Stegostoma tigrinum: one gene and its partner. The protein of the gene in region 2 purifies or fractionates together with the protein of the main gene of each other region. This does not show direct contact. Links are inferred from orthologs where the notes say so. Each region holds a gene or a part of one and is shown on either strand. Other genes may lie near its edges.

The links. Proteins that work in one complex are often made in the same cells at the same time.
Region 1: the proteins of serine/arginine-rich splicing factor 4-like (region 2) and larp7 purify together in Homo sapiens (affinity purification with mass spectrometry; 3 studies listed by BioGRID and IntAct, with this or other methods). This does not show direct contact. The link is inferred for Stegostoma tigrinum from reciprocal best matches to the Homo sapiens genes SRSF4 and LARP7.

Annotation. Positions count from the first base shown.
Region 1 is NC_081354.1:63,786,572-63,794,587, reverse strand, and holds the start of larp7 (la-related protein 7), read right to left. Parts: upstream 3,024-8,016; 5' UTR 2,848-3,023; intron 1-2,847. Other genes in the region: protein ZGRF1-like, read left to right, coding at 5,122-5,142, 5,601-5,681. UniProt on the Homo sapiens protein: RNA-binding protein that specifically binds distinct small nuclear RNA (snRNAs) and regulates their processing and function.
Region 2 is NC_081377.1:38,215,861-38,222,885, reverse strand, and holds the start of serine/arginine-rich splicing factor 4-like, read right to left. Parts: upstream 3,010-7,025; 5' UTR 2,906-3,009; coding exon 2,799-2,905; exon of another isoform or gene 2,513-2,798; intron 1-2,512. UniProt on the Homo sapiens protein: Plays a role in alternative splice site selection during pre-mRNA splicing. Represses the splicing of MAPT/Tau exon 10.

The DNA of each region.
Region 1 (8,016 bases), on a different chromosome or scaffold from region 2:
ACCAGCCTTTCACTCTCCATACCACATCCAGACATGGAAACTTGCAAACAGTGACTTAATAATAAACAGGTCAAACATAAGTTATGATGGAGCAGATGGTAATAAAAAAGAAAATAAGACATTATATCAAATCCTGTCTTCCAGATACCCTTCTCATTCTATGATTTCTAACAAAGAAGACTTCACTATGCTGTAAATCAATGCTACAAGTTCACAACTTCTACTTAAACTCAAGTTGCAGCACAACAGGCTGTTCAGCCCATTGTGCTTACATAAGAGCTAATCAATTTCACTTGCTACTCTTCCGCAACAGTTCTGTTAATACTTTTTGTTTCAAACATTTATTTCGAATTTCTTTTGAATGTTACTACGTATCTATCTTTTCAGACATTGCAGATCACAACTAGCTGTGTAAAAATGCTCCCTCACTTTGCCTCTAGCTCATTTGTCATTCGTCTTAAATCTGTGCTGTCTGGTTACAGACCCTTTGCCATTCACAACAGTTTCTCATTGGTCACACTATCAAAGCAATTCATGATTTTGAACACATCTGTCAAATCTTAAACTCTCCCTGCCGTAAGAAGGAGATGTGATGTTATCAAATTGATAGAGATAAAAATGGGGAGAGAGGGGGAGGCGCCCCCTCCCCCTATTTATTTCAGAACCCCCTTCCCCTCCCCCATTTCTGAAGGAGGGCCTAGGCCCGAAACGTCAGCCTTCCTGCTCCTCTGATGCTGCTTGGCCTGCTGTGTTCCTCCAGCTCTACACCTTGTTATCTCAGATTCTCCAGCACCTGCAGTTCCTACTATCTTTAAAGCATTAGTTGCTGTTCTCTTAAAAGTGTTCATGATTGTATACACACACAAAAACTGAGTCTGCCCAACAGGTGACAGCAGAAATTGTTGTTTTACAACCACACGTATCAGATATTGGCTATGATACCGACAACTATACTTTTGGTGGCTGGGTGGAACAGCTGATTGTTAGTGCACGTTCCTATCAATACTCGCAATCAGTTTTGTCCTTAACTTTTGGTAAGCTGGTTTAACAACGTACAGTGGCATCATCTCAGTCTTAACCAGTGATAGGTCTCTCACCTTCATGTCAGGAGGTTGTGGGTTAAAACCTTTGCTCCACAGAACAGAACAGCAAAATCTACACCAATAATTAAAGACAGATTACATGGAAGGTGTCATTAAAAGGGGCTCAACCTGCCCCCTCAGGTGGACATACGAGATCTCATGGTATTTTTCAAAGTCCTCCTTCATTCTGAAAACCAACAGTTCTCCTTCAATCAAACTACTGGAAAACAGGCCATTTTTTATTGGTATCAACATAGGTGCAAAAAGTTCAATTTGGTCACTAATCACTGGATGATAGTTTCTAATTTAAGTAATGAACAGGAATCAATAATTCAACCTGGAAGGATGTCATCATATCCCAGCTACCCAAAAGACCAGAAATATATCAGTGTTAAAACTGAAACCATTTGAATTTAGTCATGTAAACAGAGGCTAAAAGTGGCAAGAGAAAAATGAATAAAGGCCACAATTTGGGCTCAAAAAAAAACCATGCTGAAAATTCAAAATAACTAATGATATATTATCAAATCAGATTTAAAACTGGTTTAGAAGCAGGAGACAGACCATAGTAGTTGAAGGTTGTTTTTGTGACTGGAAGGTTATGTCCAGCAGCATACCAAAGGGTTCAGTGCTGGGCCTCTTGCTGTGTGTGTTGTACATTAATTGTCAAGATATGAATCTAAAAGGTTTCATCAGTAAGTCCGTAGGTGACACTATTGATGTTGCGCTAAATAGTGAGGAAGACAACTGGATTACAGGATGTTATAAATAGGTTGGTCAGATGGGCAGAATAATGGTAAATGAAATTTAATCCTGAAAAGTGTGAAATTATGCATTTTGAAATACTGACAAGGGCAAAGCAGTAAATGTGAAAAGCTAGGACCCTATGAAGGGTCTACAGATTCAGAAAGGCATTAGGGCAGGCAAGAAGGTGTATGGGATGCTTGCGTGTATTAATCAAAACATTGAATACAAGGGGATTTGAATCCTCTTCAGAGGGTGCAGAGGAAATTCAAGAGTGTTGCTTGTGCTGGGGCATTTCTGGTAAGAAGAAAAAGTGGACAAGCTGGGATTGTTTTCCTTTGAGCAGAAAGGACTGAAGGAGTACAAAAAGGAAGGGCGTAAATAGGCTAGACAGGAAGAAACCTACCCTCTTAGTAGATGGATCAACTACATAGGGCATGCATTTGAAGTGAGCAGCATGAGGTTCAGAGGGCATCTAAAGACTTGGTAATGGATATCGGGAATTCATCACATCAAAGAGTGGTAGAAATGGGACCTTTTCAACATTTAAACAGCATTTGGATGATCACATGAATCGCTAATTACATACAAAGATACAGACTAAGCGCCGGAAAGTGGGTCTGGAGTAAATAGGGTGCTTGATGATAACAGTCTATGGCTCATGTGAGTGGAATATAAGCAGTTATCATCCAAAGGGGTAGGATGTTCATTTTGCACACACGCTTGCGAACCCCACTAGGTCAAATGCGTGTAAAGATGTTGCTACTTACCCTCTGCGTGTTTAAACCCCCCGAGAGAAGTGCGTGTGAACGAGAGTGAGTGCAGCCTACCGATGCTATCCCTGACTTTATGGCATTAAAATGCGAGCAGCGCCCAGACCCGGAAGGAGCCACATTCTGGCCACCTGCACAACGTTCCAAACCTCAGAGTACTCAGCAGCAACACCGTGTATCAAACTAAATAAATATCATATGCTGCACCGTTCATATCAATTCAAATACAGAAAAAAGAAAGCAAGTACCTTATGATCCAATTTCTCCAAATTCCGACTGTGAGCTTTTGTTTTTGCTATCTTTTATTTATTTGGATTGAATTGTTATTTTTTTCTTCCCCCATCTACTCGCTATAACATTAACAGCAAACATGACCAGTTTTTGCTCGCACCATTTTCACTTTGTTTATTGGAGCTCGGGTAATTGTGTCGCGGTTTGATGACGTACTGCGGCGGGAACATTCGAGATTTGGCTGAAAAATTTGAGCTCGAATATGCTACTTGCGTTTTTTTCCTCACCCCCCGCCCAAGGTACCGAATCGGAGATGGTAATTCTGAGGTGTGCTTTATTTGTTACTTATGTCTGATCGTTGCTGTCAGTTAAATCCTGTTCTGACTGAGTTTTAGAGCCATAGACATGTACAGCACGGAAACAGGCCCTTCGGCCCAACTGGTCCATGCTGACAGAGGATGAGCTAACTTTTAGGAAAGAGAAAGTGATTAAATAGGTCAGTTTCAGTTACGTTGTGGAGTGCCGCGGGGCTCAGGACTGAAACCTTATCTGTTTGCAACATACATCAGTGATTTGAATGAAAGGATCGAGTGTGTTGAAGCCAGATTTGCTGACAATTCAAAAATGAGCAAGCAAGTTTTGAGGAGGATGCATTGAGTCTGCAGAGAAATGTAGATAGATTAAGTAATTGGGCAACAAATTGGCTGATACAACGTGGAAAATAAGTGGTTTCCCAATTTGCTGGGAAAATAGAAAGCAGAGTATTTACGTGGAGAAAGACTGCAGAATGCTGCAATACAGAGAGATTGAGGTGTTGTCAGCAGTAAAAGTTCACCAGACTGATTCCAGGGATGGCGGGTCTAACATATGAGGAGAGATTGACTAGGTTGGGATTGTTTCGCTAGAGTCCAGATGGATGATGTGGAGATCTCAAAGAGACTAATAAAATTCTATCCAAATTGGGCAGGGTAGATCCAGGGCGGATGTTCCCGATAGTGGGTGTGTCCAGAACCGGCGGTCACAATATGTGGATTCGGGGTAGATGAGAAAGGATGGAGATGACGAGACATTTCTTCACCCAAAGAATTGTGAGCCTGTGGAATTCATTTCCACAGGAAGTAATTGAGGCCAAAGCATTGAATGTATTCAAGAGGCGACTAGATATAGCTCTTGGGGTGAATGAGACGAAAGGTTTTGGCGAGGAAGCAGGATCAGGCTGTTGAGTTGGATGATCAGCCATGATCGTGAAGAATGATGGAGCAGCTCGAAAGGCTAAATGGCCTCCTCTTGAGTCTATCTTCTATGTTTCTATAAAAGTTAGCATGCAGGTATAATACAGAAAGTAATTCAGAAGGTAAGTAAAAATTAGCCTTTACTGTAGTGGGTATGGGGTGTAAAAGAGGTTTTACCAAATTGAGCACTGCATTGGTGAGAATGCATCTACAGTACTGAGTACAGTTTTGATCTTATTTAAGGAATCATTGACTTGCTTTGGTGACAGTACAGGAAATCCATTTGATTGACACCTGGAATGAAGGTATTGTCTTTGAAGGAAAGGTTGAGCAGTCTGGGCGGATATCAGTTGGTAAAGACAGTGAGTGTTGAAGGTGGTGCATTTAGGTGCAAAACAAATGTGCTGCTTTGTCCTGGATGGTTTTGAGTTTCTTAACTGTTTTCCACCCATCCAGGCAGGTGAATGATATACCCTCACTCTCCTGAATTGTGCTTAGTAAATGATGGAGAGCTATTGAGGAGACAGGAGGTGAGATACTTGCCGCATAATTCCTAGGCTCTGACCTGCTGTTGTAGTCACAGTATTTCATACAGCTGGTCCAACTACCACCACATTACACCCAACTATCCTTCTGACTTGATCCATTCTCTACAGCCATCTATTCTCCTCCGTCCTACAATTACCTATCTTATCTATCTTTGCACCTGCCTTCCCAACTCCATTTACCCACATCATCCACTGACCCATCTAATTCACTCAACTAATTGCTCATCTACCCATTAGGGAGCATCCAAACTGGAATTCTAAATTCATCATATGGCATTTTATCATAAACGGGAGGATTGAGCTTTATTCACTGAACCTCGTTGTTGGTTTCTGTGTGGATCCCTGTGCTAGGCACATTCAGAATGATGCAGTGCAAGTCAAATGCCTTAGTCAGCCTTTTGTGAAATAACTGTTGAACAGATATGCACATAACATTCCTGTTTGTTTATTTATGGCAGATACAATTGCATCATGATGCAGATGACCTGGTAATTGGAAAAGACAAAACAAAATGTCTTGCCGTGAGTTTGTTGTAAGTAAAACAAATTTGCTTGTGTTAGAGATAGTGGGAACTGCAGATGCTGGAGAATCTGAGATAAAACAGTGTAGAGCTGGATGAACACAGCAGGCCAAGCAGCTTCAGAGGAACAGGAAGGCTGACGTTTTGGGCCTAGACCCTTCTTCAGAAACGGATCTAGGCCTGAAACATCAGCCTACTTGCTTATATTCATTGATGAATTGAAATTCATTTTAAAGTTTAAAGTTTTTGTTAAAATTACCTTTTACATTGCAGTGTACCAGGTGCAATATTTATTTGACAGACCAGATTCCACTGCTTATTTCCTTCTGTTTGCTCACTCTTGGATGCATTGTCTTCAATTGTTATGAAATTTACAGGAACCTCTGCTATGTAGCAGTTCGAAAAACAGATTTTTACTGCAAAGAGCATCCATCATTTGAAGAGTCAGCCTTTGTTTTTTTTAATTTCAGGTGCTGTATACAAATCAAAAAACAAGAAAAGCAAAGAAATGGCATGATGGCATTTTAAGAACCAGTTCCTATGGAAATAAGGTTTGTTCAGCAAATAGTGAAATATTATGTGGTCTATGCTGTGTAACACGTAAGTGCAAGGAATGTTTTGAAGACTAATAGATTGGAAGTTTATTTTACTGATGACTTGGATTTCATAGTACACATTAGCTTACATAACACAACATTGTGGGCTGAAGGGCCTGTTCTGTGCTGTACTGTTCTATGTTCTATGTTCTATAACAATGAAATGCTATTTAAAACATGACTGAATTGGTATTGTACTGTGGTTTTCTAGTTTCATCAGTGACTATTTACTGTTCATGTTTTCCCTGTTTTGCCCCTCCTGAAGTACCAATTCTCTGCTCAGTTACAATTTTACAGAGGGTGGGCCACCTTATGGTTGTCACTCAAGTAACCATCCCTGTGTGTTGAGAGATTTTTCAGCACAGGTAGATCACCTCTAAATCCACCGTTCACACCAGACTCTTCCAAGATACATTGCTGGATTGCGGTCTAAATGACCAGTTTGAGAATAGAACTGCCATTTCAGCTGTCATCAGTTAATTTACCACAGACGGTGACACAAATGAGTTGTTAGCTTTGGGATCCATGACATTATGGATTGAGTCAACAAGATGGTGTTGCTGATCAGCAATTCCTGACTTTGCATCATAGTTGTGTTCCTGAAAAGTGCAACTTTAAGGAAAGCAAGTGAATCAGATTTTCCCATTAGACTTGATGTATAAGCTAGAATCGGGTTTTTAACATATTTAGATGTTTGCAGAGATTTCACCATTGAATAAACTTACACTGGGAATAGAATCATTAAACAGGGGACTGGTGTACAGAATTCAGGCACAAAATGTTGGGACAGAATCTGATGGGACAAGGATCATTGAAAGAGAGTAGAAGCAACTGGGAGAGAAATAGGAAATGCAGGGAGAATGATGGAGAGAGGATGTGTATACAGGAATGGTATGAATAATTCAGTTGGATATATTGCCCAGAACAATTGATGAGAGAATTGTGAATTGAAATTATTGTTAACGTATTTTTTATTGTTAGACTCATGGCCTATGTCACTGTGGCGCAGAAGGTCATTCAAGAGCGGGGAGCAAAAAGACAGGTAGTTGTTATAGGGGATTCTATAATTAGGGGGACAGATAGTATCCTATGCAAGCCGGATCGGGAGTCCCTCATGGTGTGTTGCCTGCCCGGTGCCAGGGTGCAGGACATCTTGGACCGGCTTGAAAGGATATTGGAGCAGGAGGGGAAGGATCCAGTTGTTGTGGTCCACGTTGGGACTAACAACATAGGCAAAGCTAGGGTAGAGGACCTGGTCAGGGATTATGAAGCACTAGGAAGGAAATTAAAGTACAGGTCCTCAAGGGTCATAATCTCCAGATTACTGCCTGAGCCACGTGCCAATTGGCATACGGAAAAGAAAGTTAGGGAAGTAAACACGTGGCTAAGGGATTGGTGTGGGAAAGTGGGATTCCATTTCATGGGACATTGGCATCAGTTTTGGAACCGGGGGGACCTGGACCGTTGGGACGGTCTCCACGTGAACCGATCTGGAACCAGTGTTCTAGTGAAAAGGATAAATAGGGTGGTCAGTAGGACTTTAAACTTCTGAGTCGGGGGGGAAGGGAAAGTGAAAGTCACAGGGAATATGGAGTTACATGGAAAGATAAGCAACAGGATAGCATGTGTACAGAAGGATTTAAGCTCGAGGCAGACTAGGAATACAGCAAAAAGGAAGGATAGCTTAAGACATCTTGGGATTTCCAACCCCTCTAATAATGATAAGAAAGCCAGCATTAAGACACTTTATCTAAATGCTTGTAGTATTTGCAACAAAGTAGATGAATTAACGGCACAAATCCTCTTGAATGATTATGATGTGGTAGGCAACACTGAGACATGGTTGCAGGGACCTCAGGACTGGCAGTTAAACATCCAAGGATTCACAACTTATCGAAAAGACAGGGAGGTGGGCAGAGGGGGTGGGGTTGCCTTGTTAGTTGAGAATGGAATTAAATCTATGGCACTAAATGACACAGGGTCAGAAGATGTGGAGTCTGTGTGGGTGGAATTGAGGAACCACAAAGGCAAAAAAACTATAATGGGAGTTATGTACAGACCTCCAAACAGTGATCAGGACCAGGGGCGCAAGATGCACCGAGAAATAAATAGGGCATGTCAGAAAGGCAAGGACGCAGTGATCATGGGGGACTTCAATATGCAGGTGGATTGGGTGAATAATGTTGCTGGTGGATCCAAAGAAAGAGAATTCATGGAATGTTTGCAGGATGGCTTTTTGGAACAGCTTGTGATGGAGCCCACAAGGGAGCAGGCTATTCTGGACTTAGTG
Region 2 (7,025 bases):
CATCCTCCGACACTTCCACCATTTGCAGTCCAACCTCACCAAAAACATTTTTCCATTCCCACCCTTGTCTGTTTTCCAGAGGGACCACTCTCTCTGTGACTCCCCTGTCCGCTCCACACTCCCCTCCAACCCGGTACTTTCCCCTGCAACTGCAGGAAGTGCTACACTTGCCCCCACAACAGCTCCCGCACCCCCATCCCAGGACCCAAAATGACTTTCCACATCAAGCAGACGTTCACCTGCACATCTGCCAACATGGTATACTGTATCCGCTGTAGCTTCCTCTACATTGGGGAAACCAAGCGGAGGCTTAGGGACCGCTTGTAGAACACATGCTCGGTTCGCAATAAACAACTGCACGTCCCAGTCGCGAACCATTTCAACTCCCTTTCCCATTCCTCAGACAACATGTCCATCCTGGGCCTTCTGCAGTGCCACAACGATGCCACCCGAAGGATGTAGGAACAACAACTCATATTCCGCTTGGGAACCCTGCAGCCCAATGGTATCAAGGTAGATTTCACAAGCTTCAAAATCTCCCCTTGCCCCACCGCATCCCAAAACCAGCCCAGTTCGTCCCCTCCCCCCACTGCAATCCCAGAACCAGCCCAGCTCATCCCCGCCTCCCTAACCTGTTCTTCCTCTCGCCTATCCCCTCCTCCCACCTCAAGCCACACCTCCATTTCCTACCTACTAACCTCATCCCGCCCCCTTGACCTGTCCGTCCTCCCCAGACTACCTATCCCCTCCCTACCTCCCCACCTATACTCTCCTCTCCAATCTGCCTCTTCCTATTTACTTCAGAACCCTCTCCCCACTCCCCTTTTCTGATGAAGGGGGTAGGCCCGAAATGTCATTTTTGGTGGTCCTAAGATGCTGCTGGGCCTGCTGCGTTCACCCAGCTCCACACTTTCTTATGTCAGATTCTCCAGCATCTGCAGTTCCCATTATCTCTCCTTCAATAGTTTACCCAATTGGTAAAAACTCCCAGAGCACCCGGCAGGAAAATAACATTCATACCCTGCTGCATATAATTCAGGCAAAAGCAAAATGTTGTAGCAACACAAAGAAAACCAACATCACATCAGTCTACAAGATAACAAAGTGTGGAGCCGGATGAACAAGAGCAGGCCAAGAGGCATCCCAGGAGCACAAAAGCTGATGTTTCGGGCCGAGACCTTTCAGAGAGGGGGACGGGGAGAAGGTTCAGGAATAAATAGGGTGCAAGGGGGAGGCAGGGCGAAGATGGATGGAGAAGAAGATAGGTGGAGAGGAGAGTATAGGTGGGGAGGTAGGGAGGGGATAGGTCAGTCCGGGGAGGATGGACAGGTCAAGGGGGCGGGATGAGGTTAGTAAGTAGGAGGGGAAGGTGAAAGGAAAAACTGGTTAGGGAGGCGGGGACGAGCTGGGCTGGTTTTGGGATGCAGTGGGGCAGGGGGTGGAGGTGAACATCTGCTTGATATGAAAAGTTATCTTGGGGCCTGGGATGGGGTGAGTCAGTGCGGTAGATGTTCACCTGCACATCTGCAAGTGCGGTAGATGTTCACCTGCACGTCCGCCAGTGCTGTATACTGCATCCACTGTACCCGTTGTGGCTTCCTCTACATTGGGGAAACCAACCAGAGGCTTGGGGACCACTTTGCAGAACACCTCTGCTCGATTCACAATAAACAGCTGCACCTCCCAGTCGTAAACCATTTTAACTCCCCCACTCATTCCTTAGATGACATGTCCATCCTGGCCTCCTGCAGTGCCATAATGATGCCACCCAAAGGTTGTAGGAACAGCACCTCGTATTCTGCTTGGGAACCTTGCAGCCCAATGGTCTCAATGTGGACTTAACAAGCTTTAAAATCTCCCATCCCCCAACTGCATCCCAAAACCAGCGCAGCTCGTCCCCTCCCCCCCACTGCATCCCAAAACCAGCGCAGCTCTTCCCCACCTCCCTAACCTGTTCTTCCTCACACCTATCCGCTCCTCCCACCTCAAGCCACACCTCTATTTCCTATCTACTAACCTCATCGGCCAATCCCCTTCCTACCTATCTTCTCCTCTATCCATCTTCGGTCCGCCTCCCCCTCTCTCCCTATTTATTCCAGTTCCCTCTCCCCATCCCCCTCTCTGATGAAGGGTCTAGGCCCGAAACGTCAGCTTTTGGGCTCCTAAGACGCTGCTTGGCCTGCTGTGTTCATCCAGCTTCACACTTTGTTATCTCCTATTTAGGACGGAGGCGTTTATCTTGTAGTTGCCACAGTATTATCAGACCGCGGGGAGAGTTTGAGCATCAGTGTTCATGGTAACCTCTGAGATTTGAACTCATAGTATTGGAGTTACTTGGGCATTGCAAACCAGCCGCCCAGCCAGAGTTGAACGGGATTCCCCTTCCAATATCACAGTACGTTCCGATAGAAACAGCAGAGATAGAAAATGTCCCGCAGTGAAGTGTCGCAGCACCCGGAGCGCGTACAATAGTGGTGGACGCGCGCACGCAGGGGGAATAGGAGCGCGTGCACATCAACAGCGCGCACCGTGGGGGAGGGGCGGCAATGCCTCTGCAGCTCGTGACGCACCTCCAGCCTCAACAAAGACAAAGAGAAATCAAGAAAAGCCCGTTTCCTCGCCCACCACCCAATTCCCAGAGAAAAGGAAAAAGAGAGAGGCGGGTTTCTCCCCTTTTTGAATAGGGAGGAGTACGATTGGAGCCACAGGGTCCGGGGCCTCCACCGTGGCGAGGGACCTGATGGGCGTTCGCCGCACAGACGCCATTTTCTTCGCTGGTGTCCGACTGTCTGACTCACCCGTTCTTTATGTCCACCTCCAAGATTTTACCGTAGCCCTTGAAGAACCGCTCCACATCCCGCTCCCGGGCCTGGTAACTGAGCCTACCGATGTAAACCCGAGGCATCTTTCTTTCTCGCTGCTTGTCTGTCTCACTCGCGCGCTTTCACGAAATCACCGTTGCTCCGGTTCCCGGCCGACATGCGTCACCACACCGCCTGACGTAAACACGGCGGGGTTCGTCACACGTTATCTGCGTAAACGGTGGGAGTGTGTATCGCTTAATTCCATTCCCTATTCCCAATTCTTCCGACGATGAGGCATTCAGCTCCCGCACATCCCAGATGTCCAAGTTCTTCAAGGACCACAACTTCCCCCCCACAGTGATCGAGGACGCCCTTGACCGCGTCTACGCATTTCCCGCAACACATCCCTCACACCCCACAACCGCCCAAAGAGGATCCCCCTCGTTCTCAGACACCACCCCACCGACCTCCGGATACAATGCATCATCCTCCGACACTTCCGCCATCTACAATCCGACCCCACCACCCAAGACATTTTTCCATCCCCACCCTTGTCTGCTTTCCGGAGAGACCACTCTCTCCGTGACTCCCTTGTTCGCTCCACACTGCCCTCCAACCACACCACACCCGGCACCTTCCCCTGCAACCGCAGGAAATGCTACACTTGCCCCCACACCTCCTCCCTCACCCCTATCCCAGGCCCCAAGATGACTTTCCATATTAAGCAGAGGTTCACCTGCACATCTGCCAATGTGGTATACTGTATGCATTGTACCCGGTGTGGCTTCCTCTCCATTGGGGAAACCAAGCGGAGGCTTGGGGACCACTTTGCAGAACACCTCCACTCAGTTTGCAATAGACAACTGCACCTCCCAGTCGCGAACCATTTCAACTCCCCCTCCCATTCTTTCGATGACATGTCCATCATGGGCCTCCTGCAGTGCCACAATGATGCCACCCGCATGTTGCAGGACAGCAACTCATATTCCGCTTGGGAACCCTGCAGCCCAATGGTATCAATGTGGACTACACCAGCTTCAAAATCTTCCCTTGCCCCACTGCATCACACAACCAGCCCAGCTCATCCCCTTCCCCCACTGCATCCCAAAACCAGCCCAGTTCTTCCCCTCTCCCCACTGCATCCCAAAACCAGCCCAGCTCATCCCCGCCTCCCTAACCTGTTCTTCTTCTCACCTATCCCTTCCTCCCAGCCCAAGCCGCACCTCCATCTCCTACCTACTAACCTCATCCCACCTCCTTGACCTGTCCGTCTTCCCTGGACTGACCTATCCCCTCCCTACCTCCTCACCTATACTCTCCTCTCCACCTATCTTCTTTTCTCCCCATCTTCGGTCCGCCTCCCCCTCTCTCCCTATTTATTCCAGAACCCTCACCCCATCCCCCTCTTTGATGAAGGGTCTAGGCCCAAAACGTCAGCATTTGTGCTCCTGCGATACTGCTTGGCCTGCTGTGTTCATCCAGCTTCACACTTTATTATCTCTTATTTTCATCTTCTGGGCGTCCCAGATAACGTTTATTGGCGTGGGCAGAGTTCCTTTGGTCGTGGGACATCCCAAAGTGCTTGATAACTTACGGCATACTTTTCAAAGTGCAAACGTTCACCATGCCCCACATCTAGGGTCGTGGTAGAGAGGACATTCGGGCTTGGCAATGTTCTGTTGCTTGCTGTTAAGTTCGATCTGTACCCAGAAGGTGTAAAGAAGGGGGTAATAGGAACTGCTGGAGAATCCGAGATAGCAAGGTGCGGAGAGAGAGATAATGGGAACTGCAGATGCTGGAGAACCCAAGATAACAAAGTGTGGAGCTGGATGAACACAGCAGGCTAAGCAGCATCTCAGGAGCACAAAAGCTGACGTTTCAGTCCTAGACCCTTCATCAGAAAAGGGTGAGGGGGAGAGGGTTCTGAAATAAATAGGGAGAGAGGGGGAAGCGGATCTTTAGAGGAGAAGATAGGTGGAGAGGAGACAGACAGGTCAAAGAGGCCGGGATGGAGCCAGTAAACGTGAGTGTAGGTGGGGAGGTAGGGAGGAGATTTGTCAGCCCAGGGAGGACGGACAGGTCAAGGGGTGGATGAGGTAAGTAGGTAGGAAATGGGAGTGCAGTTTGAGGTGGGAGGACAGGATAGGTGAGAGGAGGAACAGGTTAGGGAGGCGGGGATGAGCTGGGCTAGTTTTGAGATGCGGTAGTGGAGGGGATATTTTGTAGCTTGTGAAATCCACATTGATACCATTGGGCTGCAGGGTTCCCAAGTGGAATATGAGTTACAGTTCCTGCAAAATTCGGGTGGCATCGTTGTGGCCCTGCAGGAGGCCCAGGATGGACATGACGTCTAAGGAATGGGAGGGGGAGTTGAAATGGTTCGCGACTGGGAGGTGCAGTTGTTTATTGCGAACTGAGCGTAGGTGTTCTGCAAAGCGGTCCCCAAGCCTCCGCTTGGTAGCCCCGATGTAGAGGAGGCCACAATGGGTACAGCAGATACAGTATACCACATTGGAAGATGTGCAGGTGAACATCTGCTTGATGTGGAAAGTCTTGTTGGGTCCTGGAATAGGGGTGGGGGAGGAGGTGTGGGGGCAAGTGTAGCACTTCCTGTGGTTGCAGAGAAAAGTGCTGGGTGTGGTGTGGTTGGAGAGGAGTGTGGAGCAGACAAGGGAGTCACAGAGAGAGTCGTCCCTCTGGAAAGCAGACAAGGCTGGGGAGGGAAATTGTCTTTGGGTGGGGTTGGATCGCAGATGGTGCATGTGTCAGAGGATGATGCGTTGGATCCGGAGGTTGGTGGGGTAATACATGAGGATGAGGGGGATTCTTCTTTACTTGTTATTGTGGGGACGGGGTGTGAGCGATGAGTTGCGGGAATTGTGGGAGGCACAGTTGAGGGCGTTCTGGACCACTGCAGAGGGGAAGTTTCCGTCCTTGAAAAATGAGGACATCTGAGATGTATCGGATTGGAATGCCTCATCCTGGGAGCACTTGTGGCAGAGGCAAAGGAATAGGGATTAGAGGATAGCATTTTTGCAGGAAGTTGGGTGGGAGGAGGTGTATTCTAGGTCGCTGTGTGATTCGGTGGGCTTGAAATGGATATCGGTTTCTAAGTCGTTGCCTGAGATGGAGACACAGGTCCATGAAGGTGAGGAAGGTGTTAGAGACAGTCAAGGTGAACTTGAGATTGGGGTGGAACGTGTGGCGAAGTGGATGAACTGTTCAAGCTCCTCGTGGGAGCATGAGCTGGCGCCAATATAGTCATCGATGTAAGGGAGGAAGAGGTGGAGTTTAGGGCTAGTGTAGGTACGGAAGAGCGATTGTTCCATGTAACCTACAAAGAGGCAGGCATAGCTTGGGCCCATGTGGGTACCCATGGCCACCCCCTTTGTCTGAGGGAAGTGGGAGGAATCAAAAGAGAAGTTGTTGAGGGTGAGGACGAGTTCGGCTCGGTGGTTGAGGTTGTCAGTAGAGGGGGACTGGTCGGGCCTGCGGGACAGGAAGAAGCGGAGGGCCTTTAGGCCATCTGCATGCGGAATACAGGTGTATAGGGACTGGATGTCCATGGTGAAAATGAGTTGTTGGGGACCGGGGAATTGGAAGTCCCGGAGTAGGTGGAGGACGTGGGTGGTGTCACGGACGTAGGTAGGGAGTTCCTGGACCAAGGGGGAGAAAATAGAGTCCAGATAGGTGGAGATGAGTTCGGTGGGGTAGGAGCAGGCGGAGACAATAGGTCGACCAGGGCAGGCAGGTTTGTGGATTTTGGGAAGGAGATAAAAGCGGGCGGTGCGGGGTTGGAGGCTGTGGGTGGGAGGTCACCTGAAGTGATGAGGTTGTGGATGGTTTGGGACATGATGGTTTGGTGTTCGGGGATGGGGTCATGATCCAGGAGGTAGTAGGAGGTGGTGTCGGAGAGTTGGTGCCTGACCTCAGCCACGTAGAGGTCACTGCCATACTCCAACTGCACCTCCCTTGTCCACGGGTTTTATGGTGAGGTTGGGATTGGAGTGGAGGGCTGCACGTTCTGCATGGGGGAGGTTGGAGTGGGTGAGGACGGTGGACAGGTTGAGGCGACTGATGTCTCGACAGTTGGAGGTGAAGAGTTCGAGGGAGGGTAGGAGGCCTTGGGGTGGTGTCCAAGAGGAGGGCTTGTGTTGGAGGCAGGAGAAGTGGTCAGTAGAGGGAAGGTTAGGCTCGCAGTTAAAGAAGTAAGATTGGAGG